Daphnia pulex: one gene and its partner. The protein of the gene in region 2 purifies or fractionates together with the protein of the main gene of each other region. This does not show direct contact. Links are inferred from orthologs where the notes say so. Each region holds a gene or a part of one and is shown on either strand. Other genes may lie near its edges.

Evidence for each region.
Region 1: the proteins of activin receptor type-1-like (region 2) and bone morphogenetic protein 7-like purify together in Drosophila melanogaster (affinity purification with western blotting, with the first as the bait; 3 studies listed by BioGRID). This does not show direct contact. The link is inferred for Daphnia pulex from reciprocal best matches to the Drosophila melanogaster genes sax and gbb.

Annotation. Positions count from the first base shown.
Region 1 is NC_060021.1:583,836-592,102, reverse strand, and holds bone morphogenetic protein 7-like, read left to right. Parts: upstream 1-2,724; 5' UTR 2,725-2,849; coding exon 2,850-3,240; intron 3,241-3,303; coding exon 3,304-3,675; intron 3,676-3,734; coding exon 3,735-4,013; intron 4,014-4,075; coding exon 4,076-4,152; intron 4,153-4,312; coding exon 4,313-4,573; 3' UTR 4,574-4,742; downstream 4,743-8,267. Other genes in the region: reactive oxygen species modulator 1-like, read left to right, coding at 421-557, 626-734; endoplasmic reticulum-Golgi intermediate compartment protein 3-like, read right to left, coding at 151-190, 895-1,023, 1,094-1,268, 1,333-1,583, 1,668-1,800, 1,859-1,884, 2,042-2,135; arginine-glutamic acid dipeptide repeats protein-like, read left to right, coding at 5,831-6,628. UniProt on the Drosophila melanogaster protein: Required for the growth of imaginal tissues and for patterning of the adult wing.
Region 2 is NC_060019.1:5,445,213-5,453,816, forward strand, and holds activin receptor type-1-like, read left to right. Parts: upstream 1-3,525; 5' UTR 3,526-3,751; coding exon 3,752-3,839; intron 3,840-3,929; coding exon 3,930-4,135; intron 4,136-4,200; coding exon 4,201-4,417; intron 4,418-4,513; coding exon 4,514-4,740; intron 4,741-4,798; coding exon 4,799-4,876; intron 4,877-4,939; coding exon 4,940-5,076; intron 5,077-5,139; coding exon 5,140-5,362; intron 5,363-5,497; coding exon 5,498-5,685; intron 5,686-5,761; coding exon 5,762-5,814; intron 5,815-5,883; coding exon 5,884-6,056; intron 6,057-6,179; coding exon 6,180-6,320; 3' UTR 6,321-6,902; downstream 6,903-8,604. Other genes in the region: queuosine salvage protein-like, read right to left, coding at 709-805, 881-954, 1,030-1,212, 1,277-1,612, 1,716-1,848, 1,914-2,011, 2,114-2,228, 3,208-3,359.

The sequences.
Region 1 (8,267 bases), on a different chromosome or scaffold from region 2:
GAAGTTTCTTGATAAAGTAATTTTTTAGCAACTATCAATAAGTAATTTAGCTTTTCGCGCGTGCACGCACTGCACGGGGCTGCTAAAAAACTTACAAGTTACAAGCATGACTAAATACTAAAATGTTAAAAGGAATATTTTAATACATACGTCGGTACAACTTTGATGTAATATTGAAACATCATAGCTCCTGTAAAAAAACAAACAAACAGAAATAAGTTTTTATTTTTGGCAAATTTTCTTAGCGCAACATTGTTTAAATTGAATTTAAGTCACAACGCTGTCTTCCTATAAAAGCAGACGACATATCGAAGCTATTAAGAGTTATCGCAACAGTCACGCTTAGCTGTACTACGTACAGGGAAAAAATCAGATTCTTGTATTTATTATCCGTTTTTCGCTAACTTAAAATCAAGAAAGATGCCTATGCCCGTAGGAGGTGGATACCAACAAGGCCAGCAACAGAGCTGCTTTGACAAAATGAAGGTTGGCTTCATAATGGGTTTCAGTATTGGCATGGCAACTGGAGCTCTATTTGGTGGTTTTGGAGCACTAAGGTAATGACAACTTGAACACACATGGCAAAGTTTTCTACTAATACTATTTTTCTTTTAACTTATTGCAGACAAGGACTGAGAGGGAGAGAACTGATCAACACTGTTGGGAAAATCATGGTCCAAGGTGGAGGTACATTCGGTACATTCATGGCTATTGGAACAGGAATAAGATGCTGAAGCTAATAGTAATCCCAATTTGAAATTAAATTTAGTAGAAAGCATCAATACATTTGTAATGAAAATCAGATCATTAAATTTCCTATAACTATTTTAACTATCCTAGTATCCTCTACAGTCTTTATTCTTGGCCCTACTGGTTACAGGTCATTTGTCTTACCTTTGTCTGCAGTAGTGAGGAAACCATCTAGAGGGTTTTCCTTTCCAATTAGAGAAGTTCCAAATGATAGTGAATTAATGTGATGTGTGACATTAAAATCTTCAGATGAATAAGGTTGGACATCATGCACTGTGAAAGTCAAATGTGATACTTTTAAGTTTTCATTCTTCAGTTTGACAATTGAAAAAAAAGAACTCACCATGAACATGGTTAATAGCATAACTTTTCCCTGGAGCAATGTGAAATGAACCACTGACTCTATTGACTTCCAAATAACCGTAAAGTTTGCAGCCTTCTTTAAACGCAGAATAGTCTCTTGTCAAATTTTTTTCATTACGGCACTGCTCGAATTCCTCCGGTCTGAAAGCCCAGTTCTAAGCAAGTATTCAAAATATCACTACATGATGCAGAAATGTAAGACTAATTGAGATCCTTTACTTTTTGTCTGTAAGCTTCCCGAACTTCCGCACATGTTTCACAACAACCTTCTTTAGCTCCATAACAACTATTACAGGGTTTTGACGCTGATTCTTCCGTGGATGTTTCTGTTTTGTTGTGAGTTTTGTTAATCTCTTCTAATTCAGCAGCTTGTAAAGGCTCCCCTAACAAGTTTAGTCTTTGTTTGAAAATGTTATGTTCAACTCCAAACTGCTGTTCACCAGATGAATCTACAGCATCCACACTCAAGTCTACAGAAAAAAAAGATTGACTTTTGTTGACATTTTGCAGTGAGCATTAGGACTAATTGTAGTTATATCTCATACAACACTTACATGAACAAGAAATTGTTGGAAATGTGACATCAAAGTTGATTTTCATGTTTGGAATTCTAGTTGTATCCACATACAATTGTTCTGAAACATTTATTGATAGAAAATCTCGAAATTCAATCACAAATAGGAAGGCCTGAATCAATGAAAATTTTAGTAACTTTAAGATATTAGAATATAAGAATTGTAAATACCATAATTATACTGCTGAAAACTGTGACTGCAAAGAAAGATGAAACAAGATAGTAAATAGAAATACTTATAATCTTTCTTCATTGCAAACCTCAGGATCAGTTTGAAAGTATCAACATCTTGTTTGATAGAAGCTTCCCAATACATACATTAAGTGATTTTCAAATTTACAAAAAAATACATACCCATAGCACCAGTTGCTGTTCTTATTGTAAAATCTTCTAAAGTTTTTGGATAAGCATCAATTGTTTTAAAAGCAGTTCCTAGATTCTTAATCATCTTTTATGCTATCTATGTTGGTGTGTTGAATTTATATAAACTGGGACTTCACAAAACACTAATGTATGTATAATATTGTGGGGTTATTTTGACAGCTGTGTTGATCACTTCTTGAGTCTCGATGTTCAGATAATGTTAGATAGGAGACCAAGATGGATTTTTGCGCCACCTTGGATTACAATTCTTAACTCGATAAGTTTTTATCATACAATTTTCATTCAACTACAATGAAATAAAATAAAAACAACACCTAGTAAATTGACACAAGTAGCAAAATTTGATTTGCAAAAATTTAAGGCTCCCATTGTAGATGTGTTCACTTGTACTGCAGTAGCGTACAACGTCGCAAGTCGCAACTGCTTCACGATCCCATCCCAAGATTCCCATCTATGTTTGTCTATTTGACTCTTTCAAAAACAACATTTTTGTAAAATTCGAATTACTTCATACGGGTTATTTTACTGTACATTTCGTTTTATTAAAAATTTAATCTTCAGCGTTCAATCATTCAATCAACACTGTGCATTTTTATAATATTGTAATGATGTGACTAATAAAATGGCAACTGCCTAATGATACCTGGAGGCTATTTGAATTCCAAAAACCTGGGTTCGTCTTCACGTCTCAGTTATGTGCAGTTGTCTTTCTGTGCGGCATTAGGCTTTGTCTTGCTCGTCGCTTTTTTGTTCAATCGGTTACCTGCATGATTTAATAATGAAGGATTTCGTTTTTGCCTTTCTTTTCGTTGCTTCGTGTACTGCATTGTCTGGTTTTTACTATGACAATGGCGTCGATCAAACAGTGGTTCACAAGCATTTGAACAAACGTGAGAAAAAAGAAATGCAGAGTGAAATACTGCATCTCTTGGGTTTAGAGCATCGTCCTCGACCCGTTTTGATGCTACCATCCAAAAAGAAACTTGAGGTGGATGATGGCCTTAGCTCTGCACCTCGATTTCTTATTGATGTGTACCAATCTCTTACGGAAGAAGATTCAGGAGAACTTAAACTGACTCCCGATCTGATTGAAAGGGAATTTAATGTTTCCGATTCAGATGTACACTCTATGGATGAAGCTGATATTATTATGAGCTTTGTTAACAGAGGTAACAGACAAATTACAATTTATACATAATTTTTGAATTAATTACATAGTATTTTCCCAACAGGACAGCACTTACATGGAATAAGACATCACCACAGTTTTGGCAGATTTTGGTTTGATCTTTCGGAAGTTCCAGCACAAACAACAGTGATATCTGCTGAACTAAGATTATACATCAACTTAACAATGGTTCAAGAAAATATGAATACTACTGAAAAAGCAGATGAAGAAGAAACTGAAGGAAAAAGCCAAAATTTTTCTATTACTGTGTATGAAATTGGACTGGAAGATTCATTGATCTACATTGATTCAATGGAAATTGACAGCCATCAAGAAGGTTGGGTAGCAGTCAATGTGTCTGTGCCTCTTCAGAAATGGCTAGTGAATCCTGAAGAAAATTTCGGGCTTCAATTGGTGTGTCGTTTATCTACTTCAGGTTGTTGATAATTTAAATATTTTATGCTAAACTAGTATTTCATGACAATTATTTTATAGGCAAACAAATTTCTGCCAGGGAAGTTGGACTAGTTGGGTCTCATGGCAATGACAAACTTCAACCTTTTATGGTAGCATTTTTTCGATCGTCGATGCCTTCAACCCAAAAGCAGCTTGGCCAACAATTGCCAGTTCCTCCCAAAGAACTAATTGACGATGAAGATTTTGAAAACGATGAAGTTCCAAAGAGAAGTAGCCGAATCAGAAGGCAAACTCCAAACAATAATAAAAAGCGCAGCAAAGATAACGAAGAGTTTGGAGGTTGGAATCCATATGCAGGTAATGTTAAACTAGATGTAGATAAATAAATTTTCAACTGTGATTTTAATTGACCATACTAGATTTAGATGCCAGACTATCGAGGCGTAGCTGTCAAAAAAAGAATCTCTACGTCAGTTTCCGTGATTTGGGATGGCAGGTAACTATTTTAAACCAGTTCACAAAACTAGATGTTTAAGGTGGCGATAATTAATTATTAACCATTTCGAAGCATTACCGGCTAAAATAATTAAATAAAATAGCTTTATTGTGTTCCCATGTGGGCTATCAGTTAAATTTAATAACGTTTTTCTTGCCAGGATTGGATTATTGCTCCCGATGGATATGCTGCTTCTTATTGCAATGGAGAGTGTTCGTTTCCATTGAACGCGCACATGAACGCTTCAAATCATGCCATTGTTCAAACGCTTGTTCATTTAATGAATCCGTATCGTGTTCCCAAGCCTTGTTGCGCACCGATCAAACTGTCCTCAATCTCGGTACTTTATTTCGATGACAATTCCAATGTCATTTTAAAGAAATATCGCAATATGGTCGTGAAATCTTGCGGTTGCCACTGAATATTCTAATTTTATTACCTTTCCTGATAACTAGCTTACCATTTAGCACATCTTTGTTTCATACGTGCTTTACGCTGAAAAACGACATTGTAAATATCTGTGCAATTAATAATTTCAAACGATAATGTTTCATAACATCGTAAATAAATGCTTCACCTCGTTTACGTAACTCACTTTAATTATTTATTGCCGTACCCAGGTGTGGGAGCGGCATTATTTATTAAAGCAAAACTTTTACTTTTCTACCCCATTAATAGGAATAGGAACTCAATGACTAGTTTTGGAATATGCAAATCCTCGAAAAATCTATTTTTTTTTTCTGCAGGAATAGTCGTGCGTATAATTGAAAACGATAAAGTGAAAGGTTATGAAAAAATATGTGGAGGCTGGCGGCAAGAATAAGAGTTAGAAGAGCACTGAGTGGCACAGAAAAATAACAAAGATTTTTATTATTCCTATGACTATTAGTGAAATTTTTCTGGTGCGTTGTAAGTAAAGTGTTAATTTAAAGATTCTTCTATTTCGACTCTGATAACATACAAATTTGCATATCTTGATTCTCGTCGTGCGTGTCCTAGTCATTTTGTTGTCTACACAATGGCCAGACGATGGCATCTAGTGACTAGGCATGAATAATTTAATGTTAATAATAATAAACTATCCATAGAAGCCACAACGGAAATATTTCTTAATAAAGCAGAAAAATCTTGGTTAAGAAGGTGATGATACAAAAAAAAATAACGCGTTGAGTTTTTTTCACATTTTTAAGCAACCTGGCTCCCACAAATTAGGTGTATGATGTAATAAGCTAAGCTCATTTTGTATTTTTGTTTCTTGAAGACTTTGCCGCAAAAATTCTGCGTGTTACCTCTAATCCCTTGAAAACTGGAAACAGGTAGGGCTACAAGAATACAACCTAATTAGATAACATTAAAAATAAAACACAAAACAAAATAAAGCATAAAGATCTTTCCACACCACATTTCCCTCCATTTACCCATAGCTCCTTCCCACTGTTTACTATCCTTCTATGTGTATGGTGTTTCATTTTTCAATCGCTAAAAAATGGCTTGTATATCATAGAAATCTTGCTACATTTTTCTTATGTGACACTTTTAGTTTACAATTTGGTATAGTTTCTGCATTATTTGTTCCAGTACTTCCTTCTAAAGTTCATATTTCACTTTTAAATAAGGTAACAAATCGAACGTCCATCCGTTTATTGTGTGTTGAATGAAAACATTTTTGTGTTGTAGAATGGAGGATCAGCTAGAGGAAAAAGACGTACTGGAAATGGGAAACTGGAACAGCGAATACGATATCGCTGAGGAAGAAGAAGAACGGCTTCTCGAGGATAATGAAATAACAGAGAGCAAACATGGATTCGCCTATGAGAGTGAACAAAACCTTTCCGACATTGAATACGAAGCCCCTGAAGTTGAGGAGGATATTTTAGATCTGGGACTCAATGAAGATATTATTGAATACGAAGAAGTATCCACAAATCGACAAGAAGCCTCCAAGGAGTTGAAAAAGAACACGTCAGCACAACCCAATCAAGGACTTGAAACATGCTCAACCAGTCAGAAAACTGGTACTGTTGACAGTGCTCCGACTCAAAGCCCCCATAAAAATGTTAGCGTCAGGAGTGGACAGCCTGCCAGTTCCTTCAAAAATTTCAACTTCAAACGCCAACCAAATTTCCCTATCCCTGTTCAGATGCGTAATGCACCTCCTTCCAGGATGACGTCTCCAGGATTTCATCATCAAAGACCACATTTTGATGGTCCAAATAGACCTCTGATAGGAAGAGCTCCATCAATGATGGACTACCATGGAGCTCGCAGTGGGTTTTCAAGACATTCAATGCAGATTGGATGTGAGCCATTATTCGTTCAAGATTTTCATCATGGTTTCCCAGCACAAAGATTTCAAAGATTCCCCATTAAAGATCATCACTTAGTCAATCATCCCCAATTCATGGATTATGATAGAAACAATAGTATCAATCGACTGTTCATCAATCCCCACTATCAAGGTTCAGTGACAGTACATGTTAGGAATATTCCATTCCAACAGACGACGACGAGATCAGGACGCCGCACAACAACACCGGCGCACCTACGCGACTATTGCCTTGGGGGCCCCCGATAGGTGGCCCCAAATTCAGTCGTTGTTACCCTACCCCCTATTGTTTATTCCCCCCCCAATTTACTGTACAATATTCAGTGTGTTAAAATAGACGAGAGGTAAAAGACACGGTTTTGTTCGTGTCTAATTTATTCAACTTGGAAACTGTAAGTAAACGGCCCGACACGCCGAACATCCCTATTACATTTTCTACATGGTCCTTCGAACGGTTTTTAACCCAGTGCATAACCGTGTCCTCCCTCTCAAATCACTCAAATCAACTCACTCAAAACTCAAAATTGTGAAGCCGGTTGGGGCTACACAATTCTAGACCCCCCAAACGTTTATCTTTGTTTCTTTCTTTTGTTGTTGGGTGGTTAAAATCTGCCCAAACTAAAACTACTAAATTGTAAAAACAAAAAAGACGTAGAAAAGGGGGGAACCTATGCCCAAAAATTCCATTTTTTTTCTTTCGACTTTTTTGTGCCTTTCGTTGTCGGGCTAGCCTGAGGGGGCGGCCATTGAACACGCCGTCCCAACCTCTGGCCCATAGATCGGCCTGGGCTAAACTACTGGGATTTCGTCTCCTCTTTTCATTGCACGTGTGTCCTCCCGTATCCATTCTTCGCTTGCTGATGGTATCGAGTCAGAAATAATCTTTCTCTTTCTCTCAACATTCACAGAGGAGCCGAAAGGTCTCCAAAACAACCGCTAAATACAATTATTGAATGAATATTCTCTGTCCATCTGTCCTTCCTTAAAAAAAAAAAGAAAAAAAACCCTCTTACATAGGATCCCGAAACATCGGTGCATCCAAACGAAAAAAAAAAAAACTATTTCTCTCTCACGCTCACTGTAGTGGCACGCCGCAAGGGGCGCCACCAACAAAAAAAAAAAAAAAAAAAAAAATTATTTCTCGCTCACGCTCAGTGTAGTGGCACGCCGCAAGGGGCGCCACCAAAAAAAAAAAAACTTTATTTCCTCTCTCGCAAAGTGTAGTGGCACGCCGCAAGTGGCGCCACCAACAACAGAAAAAAACCAGATTCACTTAATTGAGTCATCCAGCCCGGATTTTTGCAGGAGCCTGGGTATTACCCTAGCTCCAAATTTAAATCGATTCTTTTTCAGATACATCCAAGGGATTTCAAACAAAGTGGAAACAAAAAACGGAAACTCATCCGTTCCACGAAACCCCAAGGAAAACAGGAAAAGGAAACGGGCAAATCAGTCGATAAGTGATCGAAAAAAAAAAAAAAATTAAATTAATTCTCTATTTCATCTCCTTTTCCCCAGTCAACAGCTCTTGAAGAGCTACACAACCAGGAAGAATGGTTCAGTCAATGAAAAACACAAGGTCAGCCACCAAAGGCCACATAACAAGAGCAATAACCCGGATCAACGGATTTGCAAATCAAGTAATGGCCCAAGAAGATGTTAAAGAACTAGAAACCTTAGAAACAAGATTGAAAAGTCTCTTCGAAAGCTACCAAAGCGCAACAAAAGAAATCAAGGAGAAATTAATAGCGACCAAGGCCGCGCAGGAGGAGATTGATGGGGATCTGGA
Region 2 (8,604 bases):
TTCTTTGGTCGAAGTTGTTATCCAGCTCAGAGAAAAAACCCTTTGAAAAAATACTTCCATAAGAGCCCATGTAAAAAAAGGGTGTGGTTTTATTAATATGGCGGATTGCAGCGTTGTCGGACTACAAGAATCCTGCTATCCGCACGGTGCAAGCAGAGGTCTATACTAGAATTACCTGAAACAGTTAGGAAATATATTAAGGGGGGGAATTCGAGCTGATTTTAACGTTAGATTTTTCAAGCAAGATAAGAAAACGCCCTAACTTGGAAAATAAAAGCTGGTATCTGCTTTAAAAAAAGTGGAGCGAAACCCTAGATTAAAACTTCCATACTGGAATTAGCTTACAGTTAGGAAATATATTAAGGGGGAAATTCAAGCTGGTTTTAACAAGCAATCTCCCACTCAACCGCACCGAAATACCCCCTTTTTTCCGGAGGTCGTTTTGGGATCGTAATCCGGAAAAGGACTCTAAAAATCCGGACTAGGTCTATTCTGCTCGGAATCGCAAGGCGATTCTAACGCACGGACACGCACGCACGGACTTGCGTCCTGCTCCGGCTTTTTCTTTCAATAAATTAAACAATTTTAAAGAATTTCGATTCAAGACATTTATTTATGATTCTGTTCCTCAATTTCCTTCGCAAATCGCAATTTCCATTCACTTTCGTTTCCTTATCAAGTAACATGTTTCAACATATAAAATTTTGATTAATAATATATGCAACGGACCTTGTGGTAGGGAACTTTGGCAAGAGTTTGAGCAAAACGCCTCCGGTATTCCCACAAGAAATAATCAATCATGGCACTGCAGTTTTATGTAAAAAATAATTAACAACAAAAAATTTTGAAATAATAAATGCAATTTAAAAAAAATACATACCTGTTCATTGGTAAAGAATTTGTCGTTGTATTAACCTGATGTGATTTTAATTCTTCCTTTATTAATTCCACCGACTAAAAAATTTAATTCATGTTAGTTATAACGAATTGCTTTTTTTTTACTTCTCAATCGTATTATCGTTAGCATACGTGAATCGAGCACCCACGGATTTCCATTTCTTCCCGATCTCCATTTAAAAACATATGATTAGCCAATAACAATCCATGAAGTCTATCGGAATAAGCCATTGCCCCAAAATGAACCAGCGACTGAGGGACCCTGTAATCTGCAAACATGGTGATGGAATCTACATCAGTAAAATTTCCGAATCCCTAAAAAGACATAGATTTAGTAAACATTTTTATTAATTAAAAAGTTGAATTTTTCTTCGAATACCTTCCCTTTGAATATACTCCAAATGTCGGCAACAAGAATTTGTGCTCGCTTGTAAAAGGAAACCTTTTTTCCTTCAATGACCCCTTCATCTCGAAATGATGGGAAGTTTGAAATAATTAAATTTAAAAGCTTTGTGGCACTGTTTGCCGATTGCTTGATGCAATTATAAAATTTCCCATCAAATTTCTCATTTAGGATTTTCCCACATTCTTGCAAAATTCTCCATCTCTCTTCTAAAAGTGGAATAGACTCGCCGGTGCTAGAAATAAATATTTTATCCACTTCTTCTTTTGTTATAGTGGCATAATATTGTGACGATGTTATTGGAATGTCAGCCTACGCAAAAACAATGAAAAATACAACAAGCAATGCAAACAAAATAAGTTACTTTATTATTTAAAAGAAGTTCTAACGCAAATTTATAGATATCACTTTCTACCTCCAGTGCTTTAGTAATCGCAGCGCATAAAGCCATATAACCAGTATACTGTTTTTCGTGGAGCTCAACAGAATAGTGTACATTTTCTTCTAAAGCCCAAAATGAAAAATTTAGAGCATCAGCTACAAATAACCTAAGATTTATGTTTTATTAAAACAGACCGATAAAAATCTTTTTTTTTTTTTTTTATGAAAATACCATTCAATACTTGAAACATCTTCAGTAACAGGCAGTGGATAGGAATGGATCATCATATTGCTTGGTTCGAACTCACGTGAAGCGATTGCTCGTGAAATCTAAAGCGAAAATATGTTTAGACCATGGTCTTTTTGTACTACGACTATTGTACTACAACCATCTCTTTGTCGATACAAAACGAATGTGAAAAGGAATAATACCTCTGATGCAATTTTTCTAATGCCATCTGGATTGATTTCAACGTCCTTTGACACAGAAGCAATGAAAGCAGCAGATTCTCTCGGATTCATCTTGCTCAGAGGTACCGTTAGTATACTAGCCTTATAAAAAAAAAAAAAAAAACATTAATTTTGTTATTTGTTGTTGTTTTGTTTTTTTTCTGATTACAAATGAAACACAATTTAGTTTTTTATTTCATACATGCCCAGACATAATTTTTACGTTTTTACATACCAAATGAAATAAATTGTCCGCTTCGCATGAAGCACCTAATTAGACAGTGTAGCGATTGCGTTATTGTTTCCAGGCATTACTTTTTTTTTTTAAATGCAATTTGCGATTACTTGAGCAGTTACTTACATATGAGAAGCAAATCAATTTTCTATGCACACGACATAAATGGGAACGATTGGCAGTTATAGACTGTTTATTTGTCATACGATAAGGTATGATGGCCTGTCTTTAACGTGATAGTAACTGAATATAATCTCCATCCAATAAATCCAATAGCCGAAGTGACAGCTGGAATATTCGTCCTGCTTCGTCCAGATTGCTAAGGCTGTTGCCAAGTCTATTCCGATTAATTAGGGTGACACCTCAAGAGCACCTCACACAAATGTCAAATTATTTTTGTCAGCTGCAAGGTGCTCTAACACCTAACAGTATAGCCATAGTCTATACTGTCTATACTATAATAAATAAATAGACCTGGATCATATGCTGAGATACAAGTGTCTCAAATTAATGGTGGTTTTTTTGCCTCTTGGGATTTTTATCTCTTATCTATACAACTTGGAAACAAATGACGCCATTTTTTGTGTCAAGTGCATTGCTTTTTTATTTCAAATGTAATTTCAATTAATAGTGGTTGGAGGTGGAAATTCTTTTTACATGTCACGAATGCGTTTTGAACGAATTACCGGCGGACTGCCGGCTGGTAGAGGTTACGTTTTATGACTTAGGCCGCTCGGGTTAAAATGTAGTAATTATTATATTCTAGCTTGCTTCTAGCAAAAAAAAAAAAAAAAAAAAAAAACAAATACAAAACAAAAACAAAACAGAAACAATTAGTTACCCGAAAAATTGTTGGCCAGAGAGCTTGAGAGCTTGAGAAAGCAGTGAGAGCTGTGGACGGCTGTGGACCTGTGTGGTGAGTGGTGAGAGGCCAGTCAGGCCACTGAGACTGCTACGTACTGACAGCACAGGAGACCATGTTGCGGAGACCATGTTGAGTCAGGAGCACGAGCACTAGAGCATTAAATTATGGTTCTGCACTGCGCATCCAAGTAAAATTAAATTAGTGTTGGCAGAATACTCTTTTGCTTTTGCTTATGCTTTTGCTTTTGCAATGTCAATTCAAATAATCAAATTTCAAATGCTATAAAAATAAAGTTTTGAGACATTTGGCAACATGGTGGCAACAAGTCTTTGTTTGGGAGTTTGGGAATTTACTCATTTAGGATCTTTTTCTTTTTGCATTTTTTTTTCTACAGGCTGACTAAACTTATAACATTAGTTATAAACTGTATTGAAGTTCAAGTATATACCGAAGTTCGCTATTTATTGAATTCTTCCAATCTTTCTGATGGTGAAATTCATTCCCTGCCCCATTTTTTAGAATGATTTATTCAAAGGCACTGCGAATTTTTAGTTTTTCACTGCTTGTATCTACATGCGTTGTCTCTGACGACGACGGTTCCAGTGAAGGTAGGCCTGTGTATCAATATTCTATATTTTTGTGAATTGTCTGTTATTTAAATCGGTAATATGTAACAACTGTTGATTCATTGATTTCAGATTTAGTTTTTTCAAGCTCTTTACTGGAAAGTATGCCAAGTTTTCCAATGGGTATGTTTGAAGATGATGAAGAAAATAGCCTCCCCATATCTGGAAATGGAACATTTGGTATACCTAACTTAAACAAGCATCATCCTAAATATCAATGCCATTCCTGTGAACAGCCAGACTGTTCAGAAGAAACCATTTGCAATAATGCCTACCAGGTCTCATTATTGTACTTTAATTCTGTGTAAAATTTATTTACTAATTTTTATCCATTAATGATTAGTGTTGGAAATCTCGTGTTCGAGATATTTCTGGGGTTGAATCAGTTTCTAAGGGTTGTACTACAAATGCAGAACAAGTTGTACTTTATTGCAATACTTTGTCATTTGATGGAAATGGAGAAATTCAACAGGAAAGCAGCTCTTATGCCATAGAATGTTGTGAAGGAAATTTTTGTAACAATGGCACTTTTCCCATGCTCCCTACCACTCAATATTCAGGTAAATAGAAAGGCTACAATGTGGTTCTAAATCCATATTTATTGCTTAATTTGGCTACATCATTTTTTGTCCCCCCCCCCCTCCCTTCTTTTGCAGACAACTCAGAAGATGAAGAATACTATGCAACTGTTTTACGCTTAATGCTAGCTATTCTGTGCCCTGTTGTGATTTTGGGCATCGTTCTGGCTGTAATTCTATTAATGATGCGGCATTGGCACAGACGCCGAATGGCTCGGCTCACCACTATGGAAGGTTCGCAAGATCCTGATTACACTTACAGGGATGAGTTACGAGTGACAGCTGCTGGAGACAGTACTTTAAGGGTATTTAAAATTATTATCATTTCTTTCTATATATCTAACATCAAATTTTGAAAAATAGGAAGTTTTCGAGCATTCCGTTACATCTGGAAGTGGCTCTGGAATGCCTCTACTTATTCAGAGAACTTTGGCCAAACAGGTATTCCATGCCGTTTTCTACGTTCTTGATGGAGATTAAAATTTTTCTTGTCCAAATTTACAGATTACTCTAGGCGAATGTATCGGAAAAGGACGTTATGGAGAGGTTTGGAGAGGATTGTGGCATGGAGAAAGCGTTGCTGTTAAAATTTTCTTTTCTAGAGATGAAGCATCATGGACAAGAGAAACAGAGATTTACAGGTATTCGTCAAATTATCTTTTTAGTTCCAAATTAATTTAAATAATACATTTTATTCCACATAGTACAATGTTGTTTCGCCATGAGAATATTTTGGGATACATTGGATCTGACATGACGTCTCGTAATTCTATTACGCAATTGTGGCTCGTTACCCATTATCATCCCTTAGGTTCTCTCTATGACCATCTGAACCGCCATTCGCTTAACCATGTCCAACTGTTGCATTTATCTATATCGGCTATCAGTGGCATTCTCCATCTTCACACTGAGATTTTTGGAACCCAGGTACCAAATTCATCTCTGTTGTTCCTTCTTCACTTTGAATGTTTAATGCGATCTAGCTATGTTTTTTTTATTATTATTATTATTATTATTTTCTTGTGGTAGCACATTCGTTTGTTCAATTTTATATTTATTTAGGGTAAACCTGCAATTGCTCATCGAGACATTAAAACGAAAAATATTCTGGTCAGATCGAATGGAATGTGCGTTATAGCGGATTTTGGTTTGGCAGTTACTCACACTCAAACAACTGGTGAAATGAATGTTGCCAACAATCCTCGTGTGGGCACTAAACGCTATATGAGCCCTGAAGTGTTGGATCAAACGTAATTACCTATTAATTTTTCGCATTGTATATGGAAACATTTTTAACTTTTTTCCTTTCTCTGTTTTTCAAAACAGAATCAATATGAGTATTTTTGAATCTTTTCGACGGGTGGACATGTATGCTTTTGGTGCGTCTTCGTTAACATTTTTAGAATTCTTTTATTATTTTGTCTATATTTTTTATTGTGTTTTCATAGGTCTTGTTCTGTGGGAAATGTGCCGACGTACCGTGTCGTCAGGATTTGTTGAGGAATACCGGCCTCCCTTTTTTGATATGGTGCCGTCAGATCCGAGTTTTGAAGATATGCGTAAAGTGGTTTGCATTGACCAGTATCGACCAGTTATTCCTATGCATTGGGAATCAGATCCAGTAAATATGTGTTTTTCAACACCTTCATAATTTTATGAAAATCTCTACCTTTTTATACTCTATTAGATCGACTCATACTGTGAGTGGTTACGCTAACTATGTTCTTATCCATTATTTCTGTAGATTCTGTCGGGCATTTGGCACTTAATGAAAGAATGCTGGCACCAAAATCCCAACGTCCGACTCCCCGCACTTCGATTAAAGAAATCTCTGTTGAAACTAGCTATGCAGGATCCATCTCTGAATTTTAGACTTGATTTTTGACAAGCCAAAAGTGGTTGGAGTGGCATGAATTTCAATGAATCTCTCCAAGCAGTTATCAAAATCATGTCTCAAAAATAGGTATCCAGTCTGTCTGTTATTCTACGCTTTTCTGCTACTATTGGCAGATTCTTAATATAAAAACGTCGCATCAAGAACCGGACGAGGGTCGTGACAGCCTGATTTTGCATACGGGCAAAAAATGCAAGTGCCATTAAAGGGTTGTATTTGCCTTGCTCATTGAAAGTAATATTTTGTGTGTTGTTGACTATTGTGTGCCATAAGTGACATTGTTAGAGCGAGAATTCATCGACGTGTTTTACGCGCTAAACGATTGATTATCCTTATTGTATCGAAATCGAATTCCTTATTACTAAAATTATTGCTTACTGAAAGTTTTTCATTTTTTTCCATCGTACCTATAACTATGACCCGAAAAGAAATTCTGTTGACAATAGAAGGCATGAAGGTAGGGTCAATTATGAAATTTATTGTATCGTCCTTTCATGAAATTTTGTTTAGTTTACATTTTTTGATGAGTCTGACGTAATCTCGTTGAAAATATATCCGATTTTTTATGCAAAATTATTTATAAAATGAAAAAAATCACTGAATTAGTGCGGCGGCCCAAAAAGATTGTGGATCACATCACCCAACCCCCAAAAATGCATGGTTTTTAACTAATTCGCTGACGTTACCTTATTACGTTGATCTTAAAACCGGAGTAAACTTTCAAATTAGTTTGTCTAGCGAACTTAAAAATTATTTTGTACTTCCAGCTACATTGAATTAAGCAAAAAAAAATTATTTTATTTTCACTAATTCTGAATAAGGAGGGGATTTCAGTTATTTTATGTAGTCGTATATCTGAATCTGACTGAATTAGCTAACAAATTCCAAAAAATATGGAATCTTCCTAAAATCCTACCTTACGGAATATTTTTTGTTGTTTCTTCTAAAGTGGAAAATTGATGTTTAATGAAAATTTTAATTTCTAGCGATGACTGGATATTAATAAAGACACACTAATAAGGATATTTATTTGATTAATGAAAGAAATTTAAATTCTTTCTCATTAGTATTCAACACGCCCGCTAGAGATGAGAGTTCCTACGCGAGTTTATAGATGTTGGTTGTATAAAAAAACGAACTAGAAACTTCTGAAGATCGCCAACACTTTTTTATGAGATTTTAAAAGAGACTATAATTTTAAGATCCCATTCATAATTATTATGAGACGGATTTTCCACTGTCTATTGAGTGGCTCATCTCCATGTCTCTGTTTCTCCTGTCCCTCTGGCGGCCATACTCCGACATACGTGGAGTGCTGTTTATTAGTTCTTGTCGGCTGAGACAGTAGAGTGTGGAAATCGTTTATTCTCCAATGGAGTTTGTCTTAATTTTCTACCGTTTATCTTCCCCTCAGGTAAATTAAACACGAATCTATTAGATTGTCATACCTTGGCGTAATCCCCGTTGAACAGCAGCAACTGATTGGGTTTATAAATATCTGTATTGGGCGTTAGTTTCGACTTTCACTCGGGTCTCGGGAAAGTATAATTTCGGCTGCTATGGTCTTGCAAAATCAATTTTTGTTTCTGCCTTTGTTGAATTAGGCCCAAATAATGCTGAATTAGGCCCAAATAATGCAAAACATCCATATTTTGGCAAAGGCACTAGCATTGTTCCAAAGATACGCGATTGACATGTACTGTCAAGTAAAAAATATTAGTTTTGGAGTGATTTGTATTTAATCAATATACGCGAAAAGCGAACAACTCAGCATTAGACATCTGAATTCAGCTTAACATACTGCTGTTTAATGGGATTGTTTATTGTTTTACTCCTTAAATAATGAAGAAAACCCTTATGCTCATTTTCTGTTAGTCTATCAATAGTTACTTTAATTTTGTCAACAGTCAAACACTAGAACTACACAGATGCTTCCACCATATGTTTTCATTTTCACATAGTAATTAATTAAGTATTTTATGCAAGTTCCAATTGTTTTGAGAACAATATTTTCTAATATGTGTATATATATATTGAAGTGGTTCATTTATAACTTCATGTGTATATATTAAATAATTAAATGATTCTGCATAATATTTCAACAATTAGTGATGAATTATTTCAGTTATAATGTACATTGAGGAACGTTAGAGACTTGCACGTTACTTTGATGTATGCGATTATTGACATTTAGCTGATTTCAAGGCTCAGCTATTCATTTCTTCTTCCTGTACTTTGCCAAGTAGTAATTACGAAACGCCAAATTAAATTACTG